Lepisosteus oculatus: one gene and its partners. The protein of the gene in region 3 interacts with the protein of the main gene of each other region in a pairwise test. Links are inferred from orthologs where the notes say so. Each region holds a gene or a part of one and is shown on either strand. Other genes may lie near its edges.

Region 1 (7,997 bases), on a different chromosome or scaffold from region 3:
GAGGCCAATCCAAGAAGAGCTGGAAGAAACTGTGGCTGCAGGGGTCTGTGCCCCGTTCTCCTCTCGTCTTCACCCAGGAGCCCTGCTCTGTGGCTGCAGGGGGGCGTTACTGGACTCCCTCCTCACAGGGGGCCCAGATCCCCGTCCCTGCGCCGCGGCCGCCGAGCCAGCTGGGGACAGTACTGGCTGTTGTAGGGTCTGTCCCTCTCGTCCGGCTCCTGCGCCGCTGACCGCTCCCCCTCGGCCCGGCTCGCCAGCAGGGCCCGAGCCCGGCGCCTCTCCTCCGCCTCCCTCCGCACGCGCTCCTCCCGCAGCCTGTCCAGAGAGCTGAGGGACACAGCGGTCAGCACACTGGACATTTCTCAGACCAGTTATCACATTACTGCAACAAAACACATCCATTGGCGTTACAGAAAAAATAGTCCTGTTGCCTCGTTCGGAGTCTCAGAACGTGGCGCTGGGCTGGGCTGGACTGGGAATCGGGTCTGCTGTGTGATGGCAAGGAGAGGTTGTACACCTCACTGTGTCCACCTGACTCTCACTCCGGTGGGAGCTGCCGATTCTAACCTGACGCATAAGCCCTTACCTCTGCCCGCCCTCCTCCTGCTCTCGCTCCCTCTTCCTGCTCCTCTTCCTCTCCACCCGCCTGCTCTTCGTCTGCAGGGCTCGGTCCACGTCTCTCAGGGGGTCCAGCGCCGCCTTCAGCCTCCGGTCCTTCTTCTCTCGCTCCCCCTCCCCCCGGCCCGCCCCCAGCTCCTCCCCCGGCTCCGCCCCCACCCGCCTCTCCAGGTACCAGGGCGTGGCCTCGCTGCCGGGGGCGGGGCCCAGCGACACCAGCAGGCCAATGGCGCGCTCCTGGCGCTCCTGCGGGAAGACGGACAGGTTGGCGGCCGGGACAGAGGCGGGGCGCTCGGACCGGGCCGACGGAGCCGCGGCGCCGGACACACCTTCTCCTCCCTCTTCTCCCGCAGGTACTCCTCGTTCCCTCGCTTCTCCGCCCCCTCCTCCGGGGGGAAGAGGTCGAGGTGCCCCACCAGCGGCGCCTGTCCTTCGTGCCCCTCCTCGCCCTGGGGCAGCGCAGCTCGAGACTTCCTCCTCAGGAGCTCCGTCCGGGCCTGAGAGACACAGAGCTGTCAGCAGGGGGCGCCACCAGCAGGCCCCCCGACTATACTGGGGGACAGGACAGTTCGGACCACGAGACGCTGCACTGGGTTGTATGTGTCCCCACTGTCTGTGTGGGTCTCACCCCCAAGACAAAGACACCCGGGTTAAACTGGTTTCTAGGAAGACTGTCCCCAGTGCGAGCTGGGGTGAGTGTGTGTGTCAGTACGAGAGAGTGTGCGCATGCGTGTGCCTGCCCCATGATGATACCCCGCCTGGCTCCCGCTGCATGCTGGGACGGGCCGGCCCCTACAGCGAGGGGCGGCTGTTGTCATGGTTACCTCCTGCTCCGCGCGCTCGACCCTGCGGCGCAGCTCCTGCTCCTCCTCGGCGGCGCGCGCCTCGTCCCGCCGCACGCGGGCCACGTTGTCCTTGTTGCGCACGTGCCAGCTCTTCTTGGGCAGAATATTCATGATTCCGCGACTTTTAATCTCCTTCACAAGCAGAACCAGCTGCGGCAGCGTCCGCCGCAGCACTCGGGTGCACACGAGCCCCTTCCAGCTCATTCACGGAGAACACGAACACGAGGGTTTACCCACCTGCCAACAGCATGGGGAAATCGCAATACAAAAACATTTCTGCAGACAACACTGAACTCGAAACAGAAACAAACCGGTGATTTAATAGCAGGAGAGTGGCTAGGAACCTTTCACGGAGCCCCAGCGAACGGCTGGATCGCCGCAACGTCAGACCACAGCTCTCACAGCCCCAACGCAATCTGAGCGCAATAAAAGGTTTTCTCACACACTTCCCTGCTCCCTCACGAGTCCGCGAGTCCCGGCCGCTCGTAAGTCTCACGGAATGAGCTCAAAACACTTGATACAAATTCATATCAGCCGCTCACCGAGGGAATCCTCCATGTTGTAAACACAGGAGCGGTGACGCAGTGTCCGCCGAAACCACAGGCACTTCCTGTCGTATCAGGCGCTGCAATTGGTCCACACCTCTTCGTCCCGCCTTCGCTTCTCTTCCTTCCGATTGGTTCAGGTTGACGTCAATCACTCGTCGCCAGTGGAGACGCCGTCGGTCTGTAGCGCGGGTCCGCCTATTTCCTTGGTGCACACGAAATCTTTCTTTTTACCCTAACCAACGTCTTAAAGTGATCTAATCACATATTTAAAACATGGGATACACTCCTACCGAACAAACCTCGGCAGTGCCAAGGGTCTTCTAGTCGGGAAAGACGCAAAGCGTTTAAAGAACGTGGGTTTCCTCTAGGCGGCATTTCCGTGTTTTTTGTGCCGCGGGGCTTCGATTGGATGACATTATGTCAAGAGCACCGCCTCCCCTCCCCGGTTCTGTCCTGTGATTGGTTGTCTTCTCCGTCACGCAGCGCTCAGTTCCGCGCCTCTCCCCTTAGCCCCACCTTCCGCCTTTCCCGATTGGTCTACGACAACCGCGCTCGCCTCCCGATTGGCCAGGCCTGTCCGGCGGCAACACCCCGCCCCCCCTTGACCCCGCCCCCCGTCGGGTTCCGCTTTGCAATTGGAGCCGCCGCCGACACCGCTGCAAGGTGCGTATATCTCACTTTCAAAGTTTCTCTCAATAAAACAAGGCAAAACACACTCAACAGCGCAGCTACATATCGCTTTGTGCGCTTGCAGCTACAGATCCGCGTAGAAGCGGCTGTGTGGTTTTCGCTCAGCTCAGGTGATGGATTAGGCGCCGCTGTGCATCGGAAAACCACGGTTTTACAGGAAACCGGCGATTCGTGCAGATCGGAGAATATTTCGGGAGTAAGGCACTGCGATTCAAAATCGAAATCAAACCGATCGCGGGGATTTTAAACGCCCCGGAGATGTTAATTATTTTATTCAGGAGTGATGTTTTAAAAGCATATTTACGGATTTCCGCTTTTATTTTCCCGATCAGAAACTCTTTCCTACCTGCACTTGAAAGCCAAACTGCGCTCAAAACGCTCCGCCAGAACTTCTGTATTCTGTACGTTTTTTTAATGCATACAGTGTATACGTATTTTGTATTTTTCTAAACAGATACAAAAAAAGCTTGCATTTCCAACATCTAGTAAATGATACAAACGCAGCGCTCGACTTGGCCTCGACTGGAACATGTCTTGTTTTAGCTGCTCAGCTCTGCGCCAGTGAAAGGCTGCGCTGCTCGGAGCCGCGCCGACCCGGGGGCTCCGCCTCTCTCGGTTTCGACCGCCTCCAGCTGGAAAAATAAAACCCAGTAAAAGTCGGTAACGTTGCACACATTGAGCCCCAAACCCGATTTGCGCTGAATCCAGAGCCCAAACCGCGAACGGCGAGATGAGATTTTTTATTATTATTATGAATCCTTACCGCTCTGTCATGTTATCCCTGGGGAGCTCACCATAAAAATAATAATAATTATAATAATAATTATTATTATTCATTTAATTATAGCCACACGCCAAACAAAACCCAGGTTACAGCTCTAAACCGTTTTAATCTCCTGAAGAATCTTTTAGAAACACACGCCATCCACCGTCGTTAAACACGCTGTCAAAGCCCGGAGATCCAGCCTGGGCTGGTCACTCTGCTCACTGGTCACTCCGGTCACTGGTCACTCCGGTCACTGGTCACTCTGCGGCGCCTTCAGACGGCCCAGCGTGCACTGCTCCGGGGCCGCCCAGCTCGGCGATCTGTCTGACCAGGAACTGCTTGTCCTTCCCCTCCTGGTGAGACAGGACCCCTCAGCAGCCGGGACCCCCAAACACCCCCAGCAGTGGGGTAACACTGGGGTGCGGCGGGGGTCTCGCTGGGCTGCGCAGCATCGACACCCACAGGGTCAGAGGTCAGAGCGCAGCTCAGGGCATGCGCATGGGGGTTTGGGGGTACTGGGGTGTTTGTGTACCGAGCGCTGCTGCTCTGCTTGCTCACTCCTGGAGTCGGGGATACAGCAGCGTCGGCAAGCTGGGTCGGAGGTCAGAGGTCAGCAGCAGCCCCTGACACGCCCCTCCTCCGGACTGGTTCACACTTACCAGCTGCATCTGAGCGCGGAGCAGAGAGACACTCTGTCCGTAGACTGAGGCCAGAGCCGCCACATAGCACAGCGCCACACTGAGAGAGAGAGAGACAGGTCAAACAGCACACTGAGAGAGAGACAGGTCACCCAGCGCCACACTGAGAGAGAGAGATAGAGAGAGAGAGAGAGAGACACAGGTCACACAGCACACTGAGAGAGAGAGAGAGACAGGTCACACAGCGCCACACTGAGAGAGAGTGAGACAGGTCACACAGCGCCACACTGAGAGAGAGAGACAGGTCACACAGCGCCACACTGAGAGAGAGAGAGAGAGACAGGTCACACAGCACACTGAAAGAGAGAGACAGGTCACACAGCACACTGAGAGAGAGAGACAGGTCACACAGCACAACACTGAGAGAGAGAGACAGGTCACACAGCACACTGAGAGAGAGAGACAGGTCACACAGCACACTGAGAGAGAGAGACAGGTCACACAGCACACTGAGAGAGGGAGACAGGTCACACAGCACTGATTCACAGCACACTGAGAGAGAGACAGGTCACACAGCACACTGAGAGAGGGAGACAGGTCACACAGCACTGATTCACAGCACACTGAGAGAGAGACAGGTCACACAGCACACTGAGAGAGAGAGAGACAGGTCACATAGCACACAGAGAGAGAGAGACAGATAGAGACAGGTTACACAGCACTGATCCACAGCACACTGAGAGAGAGAGAGACAGGACAGACAGTCTCAGATGGACACGTGAACAGGCGTCTCACCAGAGAACGACGAAGAGAGGCACAGCGAACGCCTGAGAGCCCAGGAACCGCAGGAAATCTTGTGCAGACGGAGGAAGAGAGGCGTTCGACACAGAGACCACCGCCCACATCTGAGGGAGAGAGCGGAAAGGACCACAGGCCCAGGAGGGGTGGATCCTGCCAGAGGGGAAGAGACAACTGACCGACTGGACACTACAGCACAGAGACACTGACTGACTGACTGGACACTACAGCACAGAGACCCTGACTGACTGGACACTACAGCACAGAGACACTGACTGACTGACTGGACACTACAGCACAGTGACACTGACTGACTGGACACTACAGCACAGTGACCCTGACTGACTGACTGGACACTACAGCACAGAGACACTGACTGACTGACTGGACACTACAGCACAGTGACCCTGACTGACTGACTGGACACTACAGCACAGTGACCCTGACTGACTGGACACTACAGCACAGTGACCCTGACTGACTGACTGGGCACCACAGCACAGAGACACTGACTGACTGTTTCATTATTATTACTCATGTTTCTGTTTTGCTGGTGGTGCGTTACAAAGCTCTGCTGTCCTCCTGGGTCTCTCAGCACGATGTACCCAGACTGTCACGAAGCACTATGGGAAGTTAAGTTATTCATAGTGTGGGATGACCCTGGAACACGAGGCGCAGTCCAGTCCAGGAACTACAGTTCCCATGAGGCCCTGCAGTGGGAGGCTCAGCCACTGGTCAGGTGCCCAGAGGGTTATGGGGGATGGAGCCAGATAGAGGCTGGAGACTGGAGCCCGGGGACTACAGCCCCCATAGTGCTCTGCAGAGTGTGCTGTGTTTTGCTGGCTGGGTGTTTGGCCCTGAAGGGACCTGGGTGTTGTAGTTTCAGCCCTTGGACGGGGGTCACTCACGCGGCCAGGCCAAACACCAGGGGCACGCAGGCCAGCACCAGTCCCAGCAGCAGCACCAGCAGGAAGAAGAGGTTGGAGCTGGAGGAGCGGAAAGTCCGAGAGGCTGGACGACAGTTCTGGAACAGAGTGACCTGACAGAGAGACAGAGACTGACTGACTGGACACTACAGCACAGTGACCCTGACTGACCGACTGGACACTACAGCACAGTGACACTGACTGGACACTACAGCACAGAGACACTGACTGACTGACTGGACACTACAGCACAGAGACACTGACTGACTGAACACTATAGTACAGTACTGTCTCTGTGTCTCAGTACAGACCTGGTACAGCACGTATCTCCGTGTCTCAGTACAGACCCAGTAGAACAGTCTGTTACAGTAGGAGCTACAGTTCAAGTACAGTAGAACAGTCTGTTACAATAGGAGCTACAGTCCCAGTGGAGTAGAACAGTCTGTTACAATAGGAGCTACAGTCCCAGTACAGTAGAACAGTCTGTTACAATAAGAGCTGTTACACAGCTCAGTCCCAGTGAAGAAGAGATGATGAACAGCTCTACCTTCTTGCAGTAGAAGAAAATGACGAATTTGACAGTGTTGATGAGTGGCAGCAGGGGGCAGAAGAGAGCACCCGCCCACACCACTGTCTGCCCGTACACCAGGCTGAGGACATTCTGGGGCACCACAAACTCCTGACGTCCCAGCCACTGAGCAAGCTTGCAAGAGCAGTGATCCACAATCATCCTGAAGAGGCAGAGAGATTGCGACACCATAGAGACACTCTTCACACACAGTGATTAATACAGACACTAATACAGACCCCAGAGACACTCCTCACACACAGAGATTAATACAGACCCAAGAGACACTCCTCACACACAGAGATTAATACAGACCCTAATACAGACCCCAGAGACACTCCTCACACACAGAGATTAATACAGACCCTAATACAGACCCCAGAGACACTCCTCACACACAGAGATTAATACAGACCCCAGAGACACTCATCACACACAGAGATTAATACAGACCCCAGAGACACTCCTCACACACAGAGATTAATACAGACCCTCATACAGACCTCAGAGTCACTTCTCACACAGAGATTTTAATACAGACCCTCATACAGACCTCAGAGTCACTTCTCACACAGAGATTTTAATACAGACCCTAATACAGACCTCAGAGTCACTTCTCACACACAGAAATTAATACAGACCCCAGATACACTCCTCACACAGTGATGAATTAATACCCCAGAGACACTCCTCACACACCGAGATTAATACAGACCCCAGAGACACTCCTCACACACAGAGATTAATAAAGCCCCAGAGACACTCCTCACACACAGAGATGAATTAATACCCCAGAGACACTCCTTACACACATAGATTAATACAGACCCTAATACAGACCCCAGAGACACTCCTCACACACAGAGATTAATTCAGACCCTTATACAGACCCCAGAGAAACTCCTCACACACAGAGATTAATACAAACCCCAGAGACACTTCTCACACAAAGAGATTAATACAGACCCCAGAAGCACTCCTTAAACAGAGAGATTGATACAGACCCCAGAGACACTCCTCACACACAGGGATAAATACAGACCCTAATACAGATCTCAGAGTCACTCCTCACACACAGATTAATACAGAGCCCAGAGACACACCTCACACACAGATATTAATACAGACCCTCATACAGACCCCAGAGACATTCCTCACACAGAGATTAATACAGACCCCAGAGACACTCCTCACACACAGAGATTAATACAGACCCCAGAGACACTCCTCACACACAGATATTAATACAGACCCTCATACAGACCCCAGAGACACTCATCACACAGAGATTTTAATACAGACCCTAATACAGACCTCAGAGTCACTTCTCACACACAGAGATTAATACAGACCCCAGAGACACTCCTCACACAGAGAGATGAATTAATACCCTAGAGACACTCCTCACACACAGAGATTAATACAGACCCCAGAGACACTCCTCACACACAGAGAGTAATAAAGCCCCAGAGACACTCCTCACACACAGAGATGAATTAATACCCCAGAGACACTCCTCACACACAGAGATTAATACAGACCCCAGAGACACTCCTCACACACAGAGATTAATACAGACCCTTATACAGACCCCAGAGAC
Region 2 (7,755 bases), on a different chromosome or scaffold from region 3:
TTACTGCGCTGTACTGTGTTTCTACCCCGATCTCACTGGGCTTTACTGCGCTGTACTGTGTTTCTACCCTGATCTCACTGGGCTTTACTGCGCTGTACTGTGTTTCAACCCGATCTCACTGGGCTTTACTGCGCTGTACTGTGTTTCTACCCTGCTCTCACTGGGCTTTACTGCGCTGTACTGTGTTTCTACCCCGATCTCACTGGGCTTTACTGCGCTGTACTGTGTTTCTACCCCGATCTCACTGGGCTTTACTGCGCTGTACTGTGTTTCTACCCTGCTCTCACTGGGCTTTACTGCGCTGTACTGTGTTTCAACCCGATCTCACTGGGCTTTACTGCGCTGTACTGTGTTTCTACCCTGCTCTCACTGGGCTTTACTGCGCTGTACTGTGTTTCTACCCTGCTCTCACTGGGCTTTACTGCGCTGTACTGTGTTTCTACCCCGATCTCACTGGGCTTTACTGCGCCGTACTGTGTTTCAACCCGATCTCACTGGGCTTTACTGCGCTGTACTGTGTTTCTACCCCGATCTCACTGGGCTTTACTGCGCTGTGCTGTGTTTCTACCCCGATCTCACTGGGCTTTACTGCGCTGTGCTGTGTTTCTACCCTGCTCTCACTGGGCTTTACTGCGCTGTACTGTGTTTCTACCCTGCTCTCTAGTCTCGACGTGCTGCTCTCTTGCACACACAGGCATCAGAGGAAGGAAGTGGAAACAGAGAGTTTTGAAACTCGACCTGCTTTTAAAAACAGCAAAACAGAAACCACAGACTCACATCAGCGACTTATAAGGGCACAAACTGGCTCCTGCCCTCTGCCCCTGCCCCGCCCCCTGCCCCCCCGCTCGGAGCTGTGTGCAGGTTCCCCATTTCTGCACTGACATCACCCTGAGAGACACAGACACCTGAGCCAGCACTGAACACTCATCACACTCCACAGGACTGGACCAGCGGTCCTCCTGGTCCAACAGGACCAGACCTGAGCCACTGGCCCAGCTGTCCTCCTGTGACTACAGGACTGGACCTGACTGTTATCTAGTCTGACCCTGGGAGAGGACAGTGATCCACTCTAACCCTGGGAGAGAGCAGTGATCCAGTTTGACCCTGAGAGACAGCAGTGGTATAGTCTGACCCTGGGAGAGGACAGTGATCCACTCTGACCCTGGGAGAGAGCAGTGATCCAGTGTGACCCTGAGAGACAGCAGTGATCTAGTCTGACCCTGAGAGAGGACACTGATCCACTCTGACTCTGGGAAAGCGCAGTGATCCAGTGTGACCCCGAGAGAGAACAGTGATCTAGTCTGACGCTGGGAGAGAGCAGTGGTCCATTCTGAAACCGAGAGAGAGCAGTGCTCCACTCTGACCCTGGGAAATGGATCCAGTGTGACCCTGAGAGACAGCAGTGATCCTGGGAGAAAGCTGTGCATTAAACAGAGAGATCAGTAGTCTGTGTGACAGAGACAGTGAGGAGTTGGTGTGATAGAGAGAGGATGTGGTCTAACTGCTCTCTCCCTCTTCTGCAGAATGCACTCTCTCATCTCTGCCACTTCTGTCTCATCTCTCTGGGTCACATCAGTGCACAAAAGAGCTGTGTCTCTGTGGGACAGTAATAGAGATCAGTGCTGTAAGAGAGCTGTGTCTCTGTGTGGGACAGTAATAGAGATCAGTGCTGTAAGAGAGCTGTGTCTCTGTGTGGGACAGTAATAGAGATCAGTGCTGTAAAAGAGCTGTGTCTCTGTGCGACAGTAATAGAGATCAGTGCTGTAAAAGAGCTGTGTCTCTGTGTGACAGTAATAGAGATCAGTGCTGTAAAAGAGCTGTGTCTCTGTGTGGGACAGTAATAGAGATCAGTGCTGTAAGAGAGCTGTGTCTCTGTGTGACAGTAATTGAGATCAGTGCTGTAAGAGAGCTGTGTCTCTGTGTGGGACAGTAATAGAGATCAGGGCTGTAAGAGAGCAGTGTCTCTGTGTGGGACAGTAATAGAGATCAGTGCTGTAAGAGAGCTGTGTCTCTGTGTGGGACAGTAATAGAGATCAGTGCTGTAAAAGAACTGTGTCTCTGTGTGACAGTAATAGAGATCAGTGCTGTAAGAGAGCTGTGTCTCTGTGGGACAGTAATAGAGATCAGTGCTGTAAGAGAGCTGTGTCTCTGTGTGGGACAGTAATAGAGATCAGTGCTGTAAAAGAACTGTATCTCTGTGTGGGACAGTAATAGAGATCAGTGCTGTAAAAGAGCTGTGTCTCTGTCTGACAGTAATAGAGATCAGTGCTGTAAAAGAGCTGTGTCTCTGTGTGGGACAGTAATAGAGATCAGTGCTGTAAAAGAGCTGTGTCTCTGTCTGACAGTAATAGAGATCAGTGCTGTAAAAGAGCTGTGTCTCTGTGTGGGACAGTAATAGAGATCAGTGCTGTAAAAGAGCTGTGTCTCTTTGGGACAGTAATAGAGATCAGTGCTGTAAGAGAGTTGTGTCTCTGTGTGACAATAACAGAGATCAGTGCTGTAAAAGAGCTGTGTCTCTGTGTGGGACAGTAATAGAGATCAGTGCTGTAAAAGAGCTGTGTCTCTGTGTGGGACAGTAATAGAGATCAGTGCTGTAGGAGAGCTGTGTCTCTGTGTGGGACAGTAATAGAGATCAGTGCTGTAAAAGAGCTGTGTCTCTGTGTAGGACAGTAATAGAGATCAGTGCTGTAAGAGAGACAGTAGTAGAGATGTACTAACACTGCTGTACTGTACTCTTACTGCAGCTCCTGGTATAACAGAACTGGTCTGTTGTAACACAGTGTTAGCGCAGTGGACTGTGATGACAGTGGGTGTTTCTAACAGGCCCAGTTGAAGCAGAAGGGACTCCAGTCTGCTGTGATACAGAGCCTGTCCCTGAAACACACACCACACGAGCTCTCTCCCTCTCTCCACACACTCGCTGCCTCTGCTACCCAATTAGCAGCAATTAGCAACAACAATCAGCCTTTGTACAACGCTGGAGGAGTTCACACAGAAACCTCCGCTGGCCTCCTCTCTCTGCCAGCCTGTCCACCTCCCTCCCCCCCCCGCCGGACGCAGAGGCGCTGGACAGTCCTTACCAGGTCAGCGAGAGGACGAGCAGGCCGGGTCGGGTCGGGTCGAGTCGGGTCTGTCAGGCGGCGGACCGGCGTCTCAGCGCGAGAGAGTGGAGTGAGGAAGAGCTGAGACTCACCGCAGCCTTAACTGACAGAGAGGAAGTGAGAGAGAGGGAGGAGAGAGAGAGGAGAGAGAGGAGGGAGAGAGGAGAGAGAGAGACAGACAGACAGTCAAAAAGCTAGTGAGACTTGTTAAACACACCAACTCCACTGAGCACGTCTGGGATCAACTCGCCCATCCCTGTACAACACAGAGCCTGAGAGAGTCAGGGCCTGACCAGTCACACACACACACACCCCACTGAGCACGTCTGGGATCAACTCACCCATCCCTGTACAACACAGAGCCTGAGAGAGTCAGGGCCTGACCAGTCACACACACACACACCCACTGAGCACGTCTGGGATCAACTCACCCATCCCTGTACAACACAGAGCCTGAGAGAGTCAGGGCCTGACCAGTCACACACACACACACCCCACTGAGCACGTCTGGGATCAACTCGCCCATCCCTGTACAACACAGAGCCCGAGAGTCAGGGTGGTTGTGTTTTATATCAGAAGATATGGAGCCTGAATCAGTCTACAGGAGCTCCAAACCCCTCCCTGTCTATAGGAGCACCACACCCCTCCCTGTCTATAGGAGCCCCACACCTGTTCCTGTCTATAGGAGCTCCACACCTGTTCCTGTCTATAGGAGCTCCACACCTGTTCCTGTCTATAGGAGCACCATACCCCTCCCTGTCTATAGGAGCCCCACACCTGTTCCTGTCAATAGGAGCGCCACACCTGTTCCTGTCTATAGGAGCACCACACCTGTTCCTGTCTATAGGAGCTCCAAACCCCTCCCTGTCTATAGGAGCACCATACCCCTCCCTGTCTATAGGAGCCCCACACCTGTTCCTGTCTATAGGAGCCCCACACCTGTTCCTGTCTACAGGAGCTCCACACCTGTTCCTGTCTATAGGAGCACCACACCTGTTCCTGTCTATAGGAGCCCCACACCTGTTCCTGTCTATAGGAGCGCCACACCTGTTCCTGTCTATAGGAGCACCATACCCCTCCCTGTCTATAGGAGCCCCACACCTGTTCCTGTCTATAGGAGCTCCACACCTGTTCCTGTCTATAGGAGCACCAAACCCCTCCCTGTCTATAGGAGCACCATACCCCTCCCTGTCTATAGGAGCCCCACACCTGTTCCTGTCTATAGGAGCACCATACCCCTCCCTGTCTATAGGAGCCCCACACCTGTTCCTGTCTATAGGAGCGCCACACCTGTTCCTGTCTATAGGAGCACCACACCTGTTCCTGTCTATAGGAGCTCCAAACCCCTCCCTGTCTATAGGAGCACCATACCCCTCCCTGTCTATAGGAGCCCCACACCTGTTCCTGTCTATAGGAGCTCCACACCTGTTCCTGTCTATAGGAGCCCCACACCTGTTCCTGTCTATAGGAGCACCATACCCCTCCCTGTCTATAGGAGCACCACACCTGTTCCTGTCTATAGGAGCTCCACACCTGTTCTTGTCTATAGGAGCCCCACACCTGTTCCTGTCTATAGGAGCACCACACCTGTTCCTGTCTATAGGAGCTCCACACCTGTTCCTGTCTATAGGAGCACCATACCCCTCCCTGTCTATAGGAGCACCATACCTGTTCCTGTCTATAGGAGCACCATACCCCTCCCTGTCTATAGGAGCCCCACACCTGTTCCTGTCTATAGGAGCACCACACCTGTTCCTGTCTATAGGAGCTCCACACCTGTTCCTGTCTATAGGAGCACCATACCCCTCCCTGTCTACAGGAGCCCACACCTGTTCCTGTCTATAGGAGCTCCACACCTGTTCCTGTCTATAGGAGCACCATACCCCTCCCTGTCTACAGGAGCCCACACCTGTTCCTGTCTATAGGAGCACCATACCCCTCCCTGTCTATAGGAGCACCATACCTGTTCCTGTCTATAGGAGCCCCACACCTGTTCCTGTCTATAGGAGCACCACAGCTGTTCCTGTCTATAGGAGCGCCATACCCCTCCCTGTCTATAGGAGCTCCAAACCCCTCCCTGTCTACAGGAGCCCCACACCTGTTCCTGTCTATAGGAGCGCCATACCTGTTCCTGTCTATAGGAGCACCACACCTGTTCCTGTCTATAGGAGCGCCATACCCCTCCCTGTCTATAGGAGCACCACACCTGTTCCTGTCTATAGGAGCGCCATACCCTTCCCTGTCTACAGGAGCGCCATACCCCTCCCTGTCTATAGGAGCACCACACCTGTTCCTGTCTATAGGAGCTCCACACCTGTTCCTGTCTATAGGAGCACCATACCTGTTCCTGTCTATAGGAGCCCCACACCTGTTCCTGTCTATAGGAGCCCCACACCTGTTCCTGTCTATAGGAGCTCCACAGCTGTTCCTGTCTATAGGAGCACCATACCCCTCCCTGTCTATAGGAGCACCATACCCCTCCCTGTCTACAGGAGCTCCACACCTGTTCCAGTCTATAGGAGCTCCACACCTGTTCCTGTCTATAGGAGCACCATACCCCTCCCTGTCTATAGGAGCTCCACACCTGTTCCTGTCTATAGGAGCACCACACCTGTTCCTGTCTATAGGAGCTCCACACCTGTTCCTGTCTATAGGAGCTCCACATCTGTTCCTGTCTATAGGAGCCCCACACCTGTTCCTGTCTATAGGAGCTCCACACCTGTTCCTGTCTATAGGAGCGCCATACCCCTCCCTGTTTATAGGAGCACCATACCCCTCCCTGTCTACAGGAGCCCCACACCTGTTCCTGTCTATAGGAGCTCCACACCTGTTCCTGTCTATAGGAGCTCCAAACCCCTCCCTGTCTATAGGAGCCCCACACCTGTTCCTGTCTATAGGAGCTCCACACCTGTTCCTGTCTATAGGAGCGCCATACCCCTCCCTGTCTACAGGAGCTCCACACCTGTTCCTGTCTATAGGAGCCCCACACCTGTTCCTGTCTATAGGAGCACCATACCTGTTCCTGTCTATAGGAGCACCATACCCCTCCCTGTCTATAGGAGCCCCACACCTGTTCCTGTCTATAGGAGCCCCACACCTGTTCCTGTCTATAGGAGCCCCACACCTGCTCCTGTCTATAGGAGCTCCACAGCTGTTCCTGTCTATAGGAGCACCATACCTGTTCCTGTCTATAGGAGCCCCACACCTGTTCCTGTCTATAGGAGCTCCACACCTGTTCCTGTCTATAGGAGCACCATACCCCTCCCTGTCTATAGGAGCACCATACCCCTCCCTGTCTATAGGAGCTCCACACCTGTTCCTGTCTATAGGAGCCCCACACCTGTTCCTGTCTATAGGAGCCCCACACCTGTTCCTGTCTATAGGAGCCCCACACCTGTTCCTGTCTATAGGAGCTCCTATAATCCTATCTACAGCTGGCGGTCTCTCTAGGTTACTCTATGCCTCTCTTGTCTTGGATGTACTGTCAAGTCTTTCGGAAAATATTTGGAGGATTAAAATATTTGTGAAACACAGGCAGAACGGGGCTTAAATAGACTTTTGAACATTTAACACACATTCCAAAATAAAATGATTACAGAATTATTCATAAAATAATCTAAGCTGGTGGTGTATATCTGCTCGTTTCTCAAGAAGTAGGGGGTATTTTCACTGACATAATTCCGATGTGGGGCAATGTGCTTCCGTAGGCGACCCCTCCCGTCGGTATACCACCGGAGCATCAGAAAGAGGGGACTTGTGCTCTGAAAACGGGGCTGAAGGTGGTGTCATCTGGGTAAAACACTGACCTGGTGCTGATGGGGCAATGTCTAATCACACCGACTGTGAACAGATAATAATGTCCTGCTACAGTTCATCAATACTAGATTGAAAGTTGACGCCCGTGCTGCAGATCCGAAGAAGGGCGCTGCCTCCTTCCAGAAACTGTGACAGTGGTCCATCAGAAACCATGGAGGACTGACAGCCTGGATCAGGCAGAAAGGAAAGGCCACATTCAGCCATACAGTAGGTTTATAATAGTTCATAACGAATACAGCAATATCTTGTCAGTTAAACTAGTTTGGACAACTCGTTTCGGATCCAATTCCACTGGAATAAAATAGGGATGAATGCTGTATAACCAGCTGTGTTTCTTCTCTTCTCAGCAGGAACACACCTGGACTTGTTCCCTCACAGCCTGCGCCCGCCCGCGCAGATCCTGGCTCGAGCTAGGTGAGGGAGATGTATAGAACTGTTCATCAGATTTACCCAGGAAAGACCCTTGGTGTGCGGAGATTTCCAATTAATTTAGGAGCTCCGGAAACTTGGTACAATACCATTTGTTTTCGCCATGTCCTCAATCTCAGGAGTGAGGGGCGAGAGACACACACTCTCTCAGGGGTGAGGGGGAGACACTCTCTCAGGGGTGAGGGGCGAGAGACACTCTCAGGGGTGAGAAATGAGAGACACACTCTCTCAGGGGTGAGGGGGAGACACTCTCTCAGGAGTGAGGGGCGAGAGACACACACTCTCTCAGGGGTGAGGGGGAGACACTCTCTCAGGGGTGAGGGGCGAGAGACACACACTCAATTTTTCAATTCAATTCAAGGTGCTTTATTAGCATGACCGATGGGTACAATCAGTGTTGCCAAAGCAA
Region 3 (7,893 bases):
ACAGAAACACGCCATTAACTGGAGGCTGACAGCGATGTCAGTCTCTCTTGTATGCTCGATATGTCTTCTCTGTCAGGATGACCTGGTATTCACTGAAGCACATGATTGCATCAAGAGATTACAGTAGCCTTATTCTCTTTAATTCACATTCTTTCCACATAGAGGACTACTACTGTTTTAATATTTAAAGCACTTGTAATACACATCTTTTTCTGTTGGATTATAAATTAACATACAAATTTAATATCTCAAGGCCTTGAAGATAAGCGTGGACATTTGAACCCATTACTAAATTCAGCTTTTTTGGTCTGAGATCTACAGTACAAATAATGTAAATACCAATCACATAAATACATAATTCAGAAAAGACAGGTTTCTTCTAATCTATCATTCATCCTATTTTACATTGACACCTAGTGGAGCAGCTACAGTTAAGATCAGTTTTTAAGGTAAAAGAGACATTATGTAGCACATACATCAAATAATTAAGCACATAAACCTCCACCGAGGTTTTAAATTCTGCTACACTAATACAATTCTGCTGGTCTTTAACGAGATTTAAGCATGACCGTACCATTATCTCCATTTTACACAACATAGCCAGCTCCCTCATGTCACGGAAGGGCTGGAGCAGGTACTGATACAACTGTGTTGCCACGGTAACTAATTCCTTGTAAGCCTCATCCTCTTCTTCATAAATCTTTAACAGGAGAACCATCTTGTCCGCAGCTTTGTGTTGTTGGAGTATCTGAAAGAAAATATTTATTTTTTTTATAACTGGATTCATTTAACTGCTACTTGTAGATCTTGTGACCAATCTAATCACCATGGGCTTTGGTTGCTTTCTTACAATTACAATACTGGATGCTTGAATATCTGCCAGTCTACATCAGGCTTCACCAACTCTGGCCCTGGGGATCCAGTATCTCAGGACCTGGGTCAATTAATCAAGTGATTTGTTAGATTGAGTACTTCAGAGATCATTTGGAACAAAAATCTGCATACTCTTGAGCTATAAAGGACCACAGTTCCCTTATTTGAACAATTGATATATGCTTAACTAAACAGTAACTTAAGTAACTGAAATAAAGTGTGTTCATTGTTTTGCTAAAAAGGGTGATTATTGTGGCCTATAAGATTAACTGGAATGGGGCTCTCTAGTAAAAAGGTTGGAGACCCCTGGTCTACATAACTAATGTTCATTTATGCCCATGTGAGCATTTATGAAGGGCTATTATTTGTAAAAACAGATAAATAAACAAACATTGCTAAATTAATTAAAGCAATAACAAGGAACCAAAGACGTAACTACAGATTTCTGCAAGAACAGTGCAATTAAGGAATTATGTCCTTCTGCTATGTTGAGTTCCAGCCTTAAACAGTAATTCCTGTTCTTGTTCAAGTTACACAAACAAGTTTAGGTTCCTTATATATCCAACACTGCATCAAGAGAGAAGTCTTATTCAATTATATAATGCTATGCACTCTTTGTGAAACACTGCAAATGTTACTTACAATATTATATTCCTAATACCAACTCTCCAACCCCAGTACATAGAGGTTTTTTAAATTAGTATTTTCTGATTTAAAAGGCTTAGAATAATTTTGCTGTGATCAATTAAGAAGCAATTTTTATAAATGGTCATTTAGAGATCACATGGGCCCATGATCTTCGTACACATCAGCCCCACAAAGTTCTATATTCTTTTAATTGGACAGATCATTTATCTGATCAAACTTTCTGGTCTTTCCAAGTAAAACTAACTGGACTGAGGCTCTTCAGAACAAAGGCTGGTGATCCTTGCCTTCTATCATACAGATCCCAGAATTCAACTTTTCAAGAAAGAGCAAATCCAATCTCCCCTGCTTGACTAGTGTAAGAAAAAGGGAGCAGGTGGGAACATGGCACATGCAGAGTGAATAACTGTAGGCTTACAGGCTACATTACCACCTGGAATGGCACAAGACTGCCCTGAAACCAATTTCAGGCCCATGGTTCTTCTCTGCCCTTGATACACAGGTATGTACACCACTTTCACAGTCTTATCAGCACCACATTTCCAAAAGTAAGTAAGCACCCTGCAATCTTGCATGGGTCAAATAATGAGCTTAAATGAAGCAGCACCAGGAACAGGTGAGGTAGTGAGAGTGGTCACTAGGATATATTGACTTCCTGAGACCAAAGCTTCAGTATCTAATCTTCAAATGATTATTGATAAGATAAGATCACTTTATTTCCATAAACAATTTCTTACATTAGGAATTTGCCTTTTCGCATACCCCAGCTTGCTCTCCATGAGACAAACAGGCAGGGAGAGAAGCTTGGGGTCAGAGCGCAGGGTCAGCCATTTATACAGCACCCCTAGAGCAGCACTGAAAATGAAAAAGCCAGAGGGTCTTTCCTAATCTGAGAGACTGACTACATCAACTTTATTCCAGACATGAAAAGCAGTGCCATATAGGAAAACATTTGGAGGATGATTGTCTTCATTTGCAATAGAAAATGTCAAAGACCTACTGCAGCAGGAATGTGATTCACTCTAAAGGATTGTGCAAAGGGAAAGTTTGCTTCTTGAATCACTTCAGGCACAACACGTTTTCCCTTTCAGTTTCTATATGAACCAGCGCACCAGCTTCTGTCACTGCAATGCTAACTTCGTCAAAAGATCCAAACTGTACTGTATATCACAAGACAAGCACAAACACTTAAAGGCTTTCAAAAACTGTAGCCTGGTTTTGTGTTGGGAGGTTCTGAAAGACAGGAGGGAAACCTGTACCGCTCCACAGCCAACTGACTGTTGACTGTCATCTTCTTCACTCTGTCACTTTTTGTACCCAGACCTCACTAGATATTAGTTTGTTTAGTTCTATTATCAATTTGAAATGTCATATTCCAGCAGCAGTAGACAAAACGCTAAAAGAGATGTTGCCTTGGGACGGACAGCTCGGGGGACGGAAGACAGAAGTGGGACACACAGCAGGCTGACAAAGCATCGACGAGACTCACCTTTCTAAGCTGCTCTCGCGCCCTGACCACCTGGTCCTCCATGCTCTTCTTTTTAAACTCGTGGAGGTTTTCGAAGTACTCCTCAACGTCCCGGCAGTCCTGCGCGAACAGGCAGTCCAGCACGATCGTGCGGCCGCAGATGTCGACGGCGGTGCTGAAGTATCTCTCCAGCTGGCGGCAGGGCCAGTCCAGGTCCATGTCGGGCTCCTCCAAGCCAGACGGCCTGCCCAGGAACAGAAGGTCCCATAGATTCCCCACCTCAAAGGCCGACAAGTCGGGGAAAAAGGCCCCCAGCACGTCGCTGACCCCCGTCAGCTGCCGATGGACATTTCTAAGATCGCTGACCGAAAAGAGGCCGGCCCAGCTGGTCTGCGTGTCCGCCGGAGCCTGCTCTTCCCTGCGCCTCTGCCTCTGCAGGGTCCGGTTGTGACAGGTGACGGCGAACTTGCACTCGATTACATTCCACTGGACGATGAAGCCCAGCTTAAAAGTCTCGTTTTCTTCAAAGACGTTGCTCTTGATGGCTACCCAGCCGTCCAGGCTGTCCAAACGTTCGTAGTCCATGATCTTCCAGCTCATCGAGACGCTGCATTTGGCCCAGAGAAGTCTTTTTCCGGAGACCTAGCGCTGTTGTTTACGCGTTCCGCCATTTGTACTACGTCATTGCCCAGTTGTCATCTTTGAACACCTGACTCACCCGTCACGTGCTCAGAAATGGCGCATGGATGAAAGCTTGCTCTTCATCTGAGAGGGCTTCATTTAAAGTTGAGCTTTATGCGTTTTCGAAGTAGCATTGCATATACTCACCAGAAATGCCTTTAGTCTAAATATAAGTATTTTTATTTTTATATCTTCCCTTATCTTTGTGATGCCATATACCGTAGTTTTCAAAGCAGTGGTTATAATATCTTTTTTTAAATCATTCTTAATAAAACCTCACCATTCTAAACAAAAAAAGTTAACAATTAATTATGAAATATTAAAACCATAACTGCATGTCAGTGTATTCCTGGTAACCGCTGTCGGAACAGATACAACGAGACTCAATTTTATACACTGCAAGAGCTGGGTTGAAAAATTGCTTTTTACAGTATATCTTTGCAACCGCACGTTTTCCCCACGTTACAACATCTATACAGTTAGTCTATACGGTAAGCGTCTATTCGTTAAACTATAGCTGAAAAAACATGTAGCGTGTTTTAATGAAGTGATTTGAGAGAAAAAAAAATGTTTGGTTTGGAATCTAAATAATTTCATACATTTTACATATGCACTTGAATAACGTGATTTATGTTAATGATTCACTCTGTAAATAAGGATTCCTAACCACTGCACACCCATGTCCCCGTATGGACAAGGCGAATGCCTTTAAATAATTGTAAATATAAGTCTCAATGAAAATGCATTAGAATGTCTGACTTCTGTTTTAACATGAATGAGCTCTAGAATCAGAGTTCACATCAACCACACTCGTTAGATCGAAGTATTTTAGAGCAAACGTTAAGCTTTACTGCCCAGTCGCAGATTCAGAGGAAACGTTCAGACTGCTTCCACGGGTGGCCGGCGGATCTGTAAAGAGGTGACCCGATCCCCAGTGACATGTGAGAAGCTGGCTCTTACACAGGGATAGGGTGGGCTGTGACACCGAGCAGTGCCCTTCTATTTTTGTATCGGGGGCTATTTACTGCTGAAATCCCGACTGAATTTACTGCACAGCCACGTCCATGAGCGCCTGCTGAAACTCTTGCGGCAAATCTGGGGAAACCGTGAAAAATACTTGAACAGGTAAAATGACCTTGCATCCCTGGGAACTATTCTTCCTACATTTTTATATCTTAAAATTAACATGCGTTGCTTGCACAAGTTGAGATCAATTTAAATGTTATTTCGAGAATACAGAAGCAATGCGGTTTTCACATTGAAAGGGTATGCAATATTCTATGATTTGTTATTTGTGAACAATTTACATAAGCCATAGTGCATCATTCTTTGACTGCTACAAATACTGCTATCAGCATACACGAAGCTACTGCGCAGTATTCGTTTTGGTGCCTGTTGCTTTAACGTGCCTGCACAAGGTCCCTGAAATCACAGACTCGGTATCTGATGTTCAGCTAAACTGACTGAGAAAAGTCCTTCAGTTGATCAATACGAAAAATTACACTAAACTGTCGGATGACATGGGTTTTCTCTGGCAATCCGGTGATTCATCTGCGGTTAAAATCTCGTATGACTCTCATACTCCTGTTCCCATTGGTACACATCTATCATGTTCGTGCATTGCCTCCCTCATCAATCAAAGACTAAAATTTCATCAGTGTTTCACTACAAAGGCAAAGAAACTGTTTTAGAAATTAGCAACAGCCTTTCCTACAGTATGTGCTGACATTCATGTGATCATCAGTTTCACCTTGAGTATTTCCACTGTCTTATCTGTTTTCAAAAGTCATTTGGAATATACGGTATGATAATATTAAAAAGAGTTTTATTTGACACTGACCGCCATAAGGCATTTCATGTGAGTTCCTGAATGTTAATGTGTAAGTTAGTTGTCTGTATTCCTCGTTCCTCATTCTTCAGGGAAGACAAATATCACACATCTATTTATTCTTATTTTCCATTTAGGATACTCTTCAGGATTTTGAGTACTACGGCTCTTAACCTATCATCTTCCGAGCAAAGCCAAAGACACAATAGCTGGTCCTCTTCATCTGGAGCAATGGACGAGGCCACTAAGCAGTACATTTTCAGTGGGGGAGAGGGGACTCTGAGCAAGGCCTGTGTGGATACCCCAGTGCTAAAGGATACCCCAAGTGACGAACCTGAAGGCATAAGTTTTTATAACATGGACCTCTACGAGTCCAGAGAAAGGCTGGACATCTTTGTAGAGGAAGTGCCTGTGAGCACGATGGCTGACAGCCAGTCTGTGCAGGAGCCCCTGGAGAGCCCACAGAGAACAGAAGAAGAAGAGTATGACCTGTACACTGCAGAGGTGACCGAGATGGCCAGGCAGTACGGGGTGTGGGACGACAAGGAGGAGGGGGACATGGGACTCCCTACCCAAGAGCCTTACGTCTTCATCACAGAAAATCCACCGGCACCCACCAAGAGAGAGGTGGCAGAGTCCGGCAGCACTGATTTCAAAAGGCCGGATTCGCAAGAGGAAATGGGACGTTTTCGGACAGCTGACCAGCGTTTCTCAGTGGAGACAAACGACTCGTTGTGCTTCGACACCTGCGTTCCTGCGTCGGACGAAGCCAAGAGCCCACCACTCACATGGGCCGGTGCACAGCAGCAGTGGAAAGAGGAGGAGGCCGAGGAGGAAGGGACGCATCGCGGCGGTCCCGAGCAGTCAGCGGGAGCCAGACTGAGGGAGTGGAAGTGCTCTGAGGAGAGCCGAGAAGACAGGGCCTTGGAGGAGGAGCAGGTGTCGGCTGAGAGCAGTGAGAATGAGCCTCCTGATGTCTTCTGTACTGACTGCCAGACCCCCATCCGAGCTTTCTACAAGCTGTTCGGACCACACAAGGACCACCGAGTCATTCAGATAGCGAACGCTGCCGAGGAGGTGAAGGTGAGGGGCTCTTTCACAAAGGCCAGAGCTTCAGCTGGATCCCCAGGACACAGTATGAAGTCTCCAGGGGCTATCTGTTGCACACGTGAAGCACTGAAATGATTGAGACCCTGAAGACTGAAATGGGTGGAATATATTATAACAAAATTATTAATGTTGACTTTGAAGATTAAACAGTGCAATGGATGTCACTTTAAATTTAAATTTGGGAAAACTATACAAGTTTTTCCAGAAAAAAGTTACACATCCATATGTACTGAGTATCAAAACAGCATTTTCATTTATAAATGCAGCAAATGCACTAGATTCTTAATAAACAAACAACATTTTTTGTAGCAGATGGTTTGACATTTTGCTGTATGGACATGATATACAGTATGTGCTGTAGATTCAATAATCTTTGTCACCATCAGGGGTGATCAACAGTTTGTCTACTGCAAAAGTTACAGGGTAGTAGACTGGTACCATAATTGGAAGCAATGTGCATTTGTGATGAAAGCTTTGCACTAGGTTAAAGATTTCTGTCCCATTCCCCACATGGAGCCTGGACAAGCACAGGCTTGTCCATTGGTTTATGAGCGCTAAAACGCCACATTTCATCCCAACTCATCCCACAAATGGTCAAAGGGGCTCACGTCTGGCTTCTACGATGTAACTGTAACATTCTCTAATCACAAAAGGGCACTGTTACAGGGGCAGCATGAGGGGCAGGTGCTGTCCTGCTGGAATGTTGTCACTTCAGGGTGAACTCGCCGGAATGGAAGTGAGTGAGTCTCAGGTCTCAAGTCAATCAATGTGGCGCCGTGCAGCCAGATTAGCAGCAATCACTGCGAGAGAAGTTCTGCAGCAACTAGGCACACCAACCCAGAACATCACACCTGGGCCTCCTCTTTCCTTGGTCTGAGCACTGAACAGTTAGAGGATCATACTGCATGTCTGAGCCAGACTACCTGACGTCAGTCAGGGTGGCCAACATGAAATCTTGACTGATCTCTATAGAGGACTTTATTGGCAAGTACAACTGAAGTGGCTTCAACCAGCCTCCAGCCTATTGATGGCAAGACAGTGTGGTTCTCTTGACAAGCAAGTTGCGTTAATTCCTGTATTTCTTTGTCTTGATTTTCACTAGGTGTGGCATTCGATAGGTTGATCCAAAATCTATATATTTGGGTTTTCTAAAAATATACATGCATATACAGATGATCATTTTTTTTTACTGTATGAATATTTCTGTATGTGGAAACTTGTACACTTTAGTTAATGTAATATGTAGACTCAAACTGCACCGTGAACAATTTAGAAGAAAATGCCTTGT
Region 4 (7,872 bases), on a different chromosome or scaffold from region 3:
CGCTCGTTACTTCTCCTCATCGATTTCTGAACATGAAAACAAAAATGTGCCTTCCTTACCTGTTTTCTCTTTAATTTCGCAGAGGACGCTGAAGAGCGCAGGTTTCATCCTGTGGCAGTTCAATCCGTGTTTCCTATTACAGTATACGGCAAGAAAAAGAAAACATGATATACAACACTGCAAAACAACTTTAAAAACACAATACTGTGCACATCTCCTCATTTCCTACCCGCCCGCTTTAATCATCCCGTCTAGCGAGCATTAAATGAATATTCCATTTATTTATTTGTAATAATAATAATATTGCCTATCCCTGATCAAATGAACTCTTTTCGGCAGGTGACGGGCCACAAAATTCAGATTCTCGACATGAGCGTTAAATTCTGCTGCAAACAGTAATTTCCAAAGAACCTAAAATAATTGATCAGATCCTCAGATCCTAGTTTATTACAGCGTTGTTGTTTTACAGTGAGGCTGTAGCTCAGTGGGAAAGAGGTGACAATCGGGGGTAAAACACAGGTTACACAAAACCACACGCTGAGCAATTGAACTTGAGCTTGAACAAGTTCTTATTTAGCAGTTTGAAACGTTGTATTTTTTTTTTTCAGTAAATAGAAATTATTCAGCCTGTTTTTAGAATGATTTCTATACTTTCGGACCAGGCGTCTCCGGGTCTTTAACAGGTAACAGTCTGTAAAATGCTGGGCTACAAATGTATCTTGCACGCTTGCTTGTTTTTACACTGTGCACACACATGTACATAAACATCAGCACCAGGGCACTTTGCAACAATATTTCTACAATTCCTCTGCTTTTCAAGATTTTAAAGACACTACTCCCCGCCCCATAAATAAGGACTTCTCCGTGAATTTAAAAATAAAGAGATAAAGAGAAAATCCCGATTATTATTTTTTTACTACGATGACAGCCGGGTGTACATCCGAGAAGCAAGAAAGATACTTTGCCTCCCGAGAGTTAAAGAGAAATGGCACAAGCACTACAATATAACTTATCTACATTTGCCCCCTTGTCCCGCTATATTTAAAAATATATATATACCACACAGCCAATAAATATGACCATTGTGATCCATGCGATTCTAATTTTAGTAGCGACAGCATAACCACTAGACTGGCTCTAAAGGTTCATAATAGGTTAGCAACCATACATGCAACAAATCTGAGGTAATTTTAGAAAAGGAACCAACTTTGCTTGCGCCTCGTCCAGACTTTGGTCAGTAATGGTCATTATTTGGTGCAGAATGTCCCCGATGTCTTGTTTCCTGCCGTCCCCGTCCGTCCCTTCGTGTCCGTGCGGGGGAGGCAGGGACATCCCTCCCTGCACCGAGTGGCCAGCCAGACTGACACCGCCGAGAGTCTGCATTATCCGGGACTGCTCGTCCATGCTCTGCCGCAGCACAATCAATGCGTTTCTCCGGGAGAGACAACGCTCGGAGCCAGCAAGGAAAATAAAAAAGGGGGGATTTGCGGGACAAAATCACATACAAGGAGGAATTCGGTGGGCGCGCGGGAAAGAAAGAGAGGCTGAGAGGAGGGGAAACGGATCAAAAAATTAAAAGAAGCAAAACTAAGAATCTCTATTTGTATAGCAGTAATTGTACCGGCAGCAATCGCGTGTCCAGAAATCACTTTTTTCGCGTTTGTGGGGTTTTTTTCTCCCTCGATCCGAAGTAGCTTTAGAATTGCAGGATCAATTTTATGCTGGTAGTTGCATTGAGGCACCGATATCAATTCTGTACTTCAGTTATTGATACTTCGGCAATCGGATGACAGCTCGCGTGTCTTGACCGTCTTCAGACCTTCTCGCCGGGTTTTGCGTGCGATTTGGCGTCTCGTGCTATAGCTCCCTGCACATTGTTTTCATGTGTTTGTAGAGTCTTCTTTCGGCTTGTTCTCCCCGTGCAAATCTTCTTGCAAACTTGCCAGAATCCCCATTAAACCAGCAGGGAACCCCCCCAAAAAGACCTTTCCAAAGCTAAAGTTGCACGCACAAAAAAAAAAAGAAAAAAATGAAATAAAAATTAAAAAGCACAGCAAAACATGCTCTACCTGTCTACAGCGTGCGTCTTGCTATGTAACAAAGGGTAAAAATACCCAACACATAAGTAAAATCAAATTTGAGAAAAAAAAATATAGATATTTTAAATGCCCAGGACCAGCGGCGGCGACAGTAAGAATGATGGTGATGATGACAACAATTAAAAAATAAAAACACAAAAAAAAAGTTTTGGAGCTTCTTTGAGGGGGGCGAAAAATAACAGAGGCCCCAAAAAAAAAAAGAGAGAATCGCCAGAAAAAAAATAATAAATTAATTACACGCTGTAAAGCAATGCGCAAAAAGATCTGGCTGTTGAAATTTATGAGCCCGGATCCCTGACTCTGTGTGCTTTATGGTGTTTGATGGCCGCACTAGTGAGCGATTGACAAGGTGCCAATGTCACTCACTCAGTGCAGACGTGTCAGACCGCGCGCAGAGAGGCAGCATCCCAATGAGAGCGCGCGGCCCGCCCACGAGAGGAGGGGTCTGAGTCCGTGGCGCCGCCGCGCGCAGAGACCCCGGCGAAACACACCGCTCGAGCCACGCTAATGGCCACAGTGATGATGATGGTAATAATAATCACGACACGCAGGGAACGCGTTAAATAAAGGACGCGTCCTCCTCCACACCCCCCTCTCCCTCTCCCTCTCTCTTTTTTTTTTTGGTTTTTGTTCTCCTGGCTGCACTGGAAGGCGCTATATATGCAAAAAAAAATGCCCCGTCGGCTGACAGCTCTCACCAGCGCTGGACGGGCGCGCTGTGCACTAAAACAAACACAGCCAAGGCAGGAGGAGGAGGAGGAAAAAAAAGTCCACACACTTCAAGCCCCGAGTTTTATATGGTTTGATACAGAAGTGATAATGAATTGCTCGGGCTCTCCGCTTTTCAAGACCGCGGCTCTGCCTCCCCTCGCCCAGTGCTGCTCGGAAGGTGGGCGGGCGGGGGGCCATGTTCTCGTATCGCGAAGAGCCGCCGTCCAATCCCCGCCTCGGTCGGGGCCTGACTGACAGCGGCGCCGGCCAATAGGCGGGGAGCTCTGGCAGGCTCCAGCCCGCCCCCAGGGTCCGCCACCTCCAGCATGGCCGTGCAAGGCAGCCGGCAACTTCTGATTGGCCGTTGCCACGGGTGACATCAACCGCACGCGCAGGCGGCGCTGCCCTGTCCCTTGCTACAGTTGCTATGGCAGCAGACGAGCAGAAAGGAGCGGGGATGCGAGGATGTGCGCATGGTAGCACCACGAGCAGGCGTGCTCGCGCGGGGCTCTGCTCGTGGGGTTTTTCCTCAGTAAAGGTGACATGTTCTCCAAACCCTGACCTGACCGCTCGGTAAAGTCATCCCTCCGGACACTCAGAGTAGACACTGAAATGGCATTTTTTTTTTATTCTTTTCCTTTTTCAAATAGATTTTATTCTCTGAAAGCTACACACTTTTCTTCTAACGCCCCCAGACAAACTCGCCGAGGTATTTTCAAGAAGAATTCACTGTCGCCCGACGGAGAGAAAGTACGTGGTAAATGTGTGTGATGTATTTATGCATTAGTCCACTTGCACTGTTAAACTGAAAACGAGTTATTCTTTGTAACTTTTAAGGGTTATTGTTATCACCGAATATCCCATCGTTTATTCCTGCAATCAGACCTTAAATAGAAAAAATACTAATGAATTATTATCATTAATGCAAATAAGCAAAAACTAATGTTGAGAATTCAGGAAAGATTATATTTGAAGGATTCCTGTTCCCTGATTTCAACAAACCGTCTTAGAAATTCAATCGGATTTTTTGTTGTTATCACAACACGTTCTTCCTAAAATATATTTTAACAGTCCAACCAGGCTAGTGCACCAGCTCCCTGTTTCTGTACAATTTTAGGCTGTACGTTAAATATTTGTTCACATTTAGGTTTTTTTTTTTAACTGTGTTTTACGTGTGACTCACTACAGCCGACAAGAGGTACAGAAGTGAAGTTCTGAAGTTAATTTAGCGCTTGTTGGTCATCCAGCGTTTTATAGTTTTGTGCAGAGCTGCCAGAAACACACGAAAGTACAAACACACGCGTGTGTTATTTTTGCAAAGTTGGCAGGCGGTGGGGTTACACGATGTTCCGCTTACTGGAATAAACGTTAATATTTTGCACATTGCTAGTTTTTATTTATTCTTACTTTTGAAATACCGTTAGGGAACAATTGCATTACAAATAAGTCCTGTAAGTGTCTAAAATCAAATTTTACGAATAAAATAAATGCTTGATTTGGAAAATTAAAATAAAAAACATACAAGTACGCCCCAAAAATAGCGCATTCGGATAACTGGATAATTTTGCAAAATGGGATATATGTTATTTCTGACAGTTATATAATATAGCCCATTTATCGACTGTGCAATAAGCCGGACGTTTCTGCTCCGGGGTGCAGCTGACTGCCGCCTCGAGCTGGGGCGTTCCGCGTGTCTGCCTGCACGGGGCTGTGGACCAGTACCGGCTGCCCGCCGCGCGCGGGGAGGACCCGGACCGCGAGCCGCGGTTTGAACTTGACCTCGGGAGCGGAGGGAGCGCGCCGCTCGCCAGAGGCGTCAATAAACACGGCTCGCGGGTGGGCGCCTCGTTCAAGTTGTAGACGTGAAACCGCATCGGTCACCTTTCAAACCCACAGCCGCCGAAGAGCTAGCTAGCTGCCTAAGGGAACCAGACCGACTTTTCAAAATCCAGAGGACCCGCAGGGATCTTTGTGTGCTTATAGGCGACGGCCACAAGCCAGGACAGTATGTATTAGCCGCCGTCCGCAGCGCAGACACAGCAAGGCCACACGTGTCTTCCACCGATTTTACACACGTTTTCCATCGAGATTACCGGTAAAAACAAAACATTCTGAGCTATTGATTTTGAAAACCGTTGCCACGAGAGTGGGAGAGACAATTGTCATTTTTGTGTTTGTTTCACTTGACGCTCAATTTCTTTCTTGGAGAGTGCGTTGAATAATTTGTCCCATATAGTCCAGGAAACCTATGATTATTATAAGTCTGCCCAGCTTGTATTCACCAATGCAATTCCCGGTTCCGAAGCGCAGAGCCTAATTCCAGTGCTCTATCATCACTATACATGCTTGAACAGTCAGACGCGTTCAGATCCCCCGCAGAAATCCTAACTTACTGCAGAGTGCAGAGTAAGACACAGTGCGGGCTTGAAACCCGCGGCCGCTCGGCCCAGGTCACAGCCCGACCTATCTGCTCCACTACAGAATGGCCCTTAATTATTTAATTGGGAATGAGCAGGATCAATATGACAATTAAGGAGCTGGCGGTATTACAGCACGGCGATGGAGCGGCCGGGAAGCCGAGCAGCCCTGCCACAGTCTGTCCCCGTGCCGGCGGAAGAAAGCAGGGCTCTTTTTTTTTTTGATGATGATGGTGGGAGTAATTATCTAAAATTAGAGAGAGAGGAGGAAATAAAGCTGTTAATTGGAATGCACTTTGAAAGTCAATCAGACATAGTTCTGCAAATGCGCGAACACAAGACGGTACACTGAGAATTAGCAAACGCTGCGCCGATTCACAGACCGCGGTGCATGAATTGATTCCAAAGCCCTGCAGGCTGCCTATCCTGACACATTGTTACAAGGGGAATTAACATTTGATAATTAAATAGCAAATAATCAGATATGCATGGAGTAAAACTTCCTTTGGGAAAATCCTGTTGTTGGGGATAGAGGAACGCCACATTTTTTCCCCCTCTTCCTCGTAAGAAAACGCAACACTCCCACCAGACGACGTGCAAGTGTTTCAAAGCTGCGAAACGCGGTGAGGTGAATGATGTTTTCATTTGGTCAGGATTTTGGAGAGGGGTCCACATTTTCATGTTTTAATCTCTGAATTCCCAGGTTTGCTGAAACACGGAAGGTGAAAGGGGTGAACTCTCCTGACGTCGAGGACAGCAACAGTAATGCTTGTCGTTTGCATTTCAGAGACGAGAGACTTTTCTCTCCGGCCACAGCAGACAAGGGGGGGCATCTCCGAACTCTGCAGGAGCTGCGCGGCTCCAGTATTTTGCTTAAATACTCCAATTCCGGACGCCACTGAGGAGATCCTGCTGAAGGAAAGGATTCCTGTCTTTTCTGCCATTTTTTTTTCTAGAGGTCAAAAAACTCCTTGTTCTGTCGTAGTGGCGTTTGATTTACATGAGTCTTTATATACAATGCATGGATAGGCCCCTGAAACACTTTGCAATCAACCACATCACAAGATTTATAGAGGCCAGTATGCTTAAAATATTAGGAATTTATATTGATTCAACTGTTTAAGTCATTGATTAAATGCTGTGGCATGATGTTTCGACCATATATTAGTCATTTTGTGTGTTTACAGTGTAACTGTGGCCTGAGAAAGAATAATGCATTTGCCTTTCTGTGTATTTGTCACATCTCACGGACAGGGACAATGCAGGGGCCAGATTTTATTGCTGCATCAAAGCAAGTTTATATTTTATCACCCCCTCCACCACACACACACACTTCCAGCTCAGGACAATTGTGTGTTGTTTGTTTCTTAATTGATTGACGGTGTTACTAATTTAGTAACATGTTTCAAAGCAAGCGGAGTAAAACAATTTAAAATTTCAGAGCTAAGGTATGGGGGCGAGCAGCACTGGGGAAAAGCAAAGCCACTTAATATTGCATTCAGCGCCTTATACTTTTAATGAGGCTGGCAACCGAGATTACCAGAGGAATTAAAAAAAAAGACGCTGCACTAGTTTCACTGGTGATTTAAGAATGCTGCATTTCACAGTGAAAAATAAAAAGCAACACATGAAAATACATTTAAAAATATATGTATAACGAGGAAGAAATTTCAGATCAAAGGAAGCCACTGTACAGTACAGGCACTGACAAAGAAACAAAGCAGTGCGATCAATTCCTTTTAATGCAATTTCATGACACTTAATATGGAGTTCTTACTGTATAGATAAATTGGTTATGTCCACGGTTGTGCAGTATTTCTATTAGGCTTTATTCTGCCTAAATTAAATTTCCCGGTTGGGCTCTTTAATTGAGCCCTGTTCCCTAATGACAGAAGAGTGAGGACTTTAGAAGGAAAAAAAAAAGATTTGCTGATAGAAGAGCCTTTGATTTTTCCTGGTGTTTGTAAAAAGCATGTCATTTTAAATCCGTCCCCAAGCTGTTCATCCAGAAAAACGGCCTTAAACCAGCAACTCAGAAGAATTTGATTTCGGCAGTGGCCTCTCCTTTTTTCCACAGTTATGGTTAAACCCTCAGCAGTGCACGGTTCTGATCGGTGTGAGGGGGTGTAAGCTAATCACTAAGGTACACTGGTACCCTGGGCAACTCATCATGTGTCTTCTTCCCCAAATATTTTACCTTATTAGCTTCTAATCCTTGCACAAGATCGTTTATTTTTAGATGCTCATAATCCTCAGGGTGAACAAATTGTTAAGGCATCATGAATGCCCTGTGCTATGAAGCTCAAAGCGTACACAGTGCAGAACTTAGTCATGTGAAGTTGATCTCTGTTGCCAGAAGACACTTGGCGCTTAGTGTTTGCTGAACAAAACATAGGATGTCAATACATAAAATGCTCCAAAGTGCATTAACTGGTATAAAGCGTTGTACATTTTTTAAATTAAATTGCTTCCTCCTTTGTGCACATTTCAGAATCTTTATCAGGAGAGAGCAATTTAAGCAATCCATCATCACTCTCGCTGTTTTGAAAAGCAAACGTTTCTAGCATTGCCATCTTCTAAAAGGGCTTTTAATTATGAAGACAAAGGGGCAGTCAGAAAGTCTTTACCTCCAAAGAGCCATTAGC

Evidence for each region.
Region 1: the proteins of fibronectin type III and SPRY domain-containing protein 2 (region 3) and leng1 interact in binary tests that used the Homo sapiens proteins (3 or more experiments, as listed by UniProt). The two-hybrid records come from large-scale screens. The link is inferred for Lepisosteus oculatus from reciprocal best matches to the Homo sapiens genes FSD2 and LENG1.
Region 2: the proteins of fibronectin type III and SPRY domain-containing protein 2 (region 3) and coro1a interact in binary tests that used the Homo sapiens proteins (3 or more experiments, as listed by UniProt). The two-hybrid records come from large-scale screens. The link is inferred for Lepisosteus oculatus from reciprocal best matches to the Homo sapiens genes FSD2 and CORO1A.
Region 4: the proteins of fibronectin type III and SPRY domain-containing protein 2 (region 3) and pbx3b interact in a two-hybrid assay, tested with the Homo sapiens proteins (3 studies listed by BioGRID and IntAct). The two-hybrid records come from large-scale screens. The link is inferred for Lepisosteus oculatus from reciprocal best matches to the Homo sapiens genes FSD2 and PBX3.

The regions. Positions count from the first base shown.
Region 1 is NC_090718.1:656,707-664,703, reverse strand, and holds the start of leng1 (leukocyte receptor cluster member 1), read right to left. Parts: upstream 3,136-7,997; 5' UTR 3,048-3,135; intron 3,024-3,047; exon of another isoform or gene 2,006-3,023; intron 1,701-2,005; 5' UTR 1,668-1,700; coding exon 1,443-1,667; intron 1,116-1,442; coding exon 948-1,115; intron 865-947; coding exon 587-864; intron 328-586; coding exon 123-327; 3' UTR 1-122. Other genes in the region: tmc4 (transmembrane channel-like protein 7), read right to left, coding at 3,725-3,820, 4,127-4,205, 4,901-5,056, 5,812-5,942, 6,377-6,560.
Region 2 is NC_090699.1:1,462,140-1,469,894, reverse strand, and holds the start of coro1a (coronin-1A), read right to left. Parts: upstream 3,208-7,755; 5' UTR 3,081-3,207; intron 1-3,080. UniProt on the Homo sapiens protein: May be a crucial component of the cytoskeleton of highly motile cells, functioning both in the invagination of large pieces of plasma membrane, as well as in forming protrusions of the plasma membrane involved in cell locomotion.
Region 3 is NC_090700.1:43,293,053-43,300,945, forward strand, and holds the start of fibronectin type III and SPRY domain-containing protein 2, read left to right. Parts: upstream 1-4,682; 5' UTR 4,683-4,792; intron 4,793-5,632; 5' UTR 5,633-5,726; coding exon 5,727-6,578; intron 6,579-7,893. Other genes in the region: WASP homolog-associated protein with actin, membranes and microtubules, read right to left, coding at 575-748, 3,008-3,586.
Region 4 is NC_090719.1:1,104,576-1,112,447, forward strand, and holds the start of pbx3b (pre-B-cell leukemia transcription factor 3b), read right to left. Parts: upstream 3,151-7,872; 5' UTR 1,405-3,150; coding exon 1,208-1,404; intron 134-1,207; coding exon 60-133; intron 1-59. UniProt on the Homo sapiens protein: Transcriptional activator that binds the sequence 5'-ATCAATCAA-3'.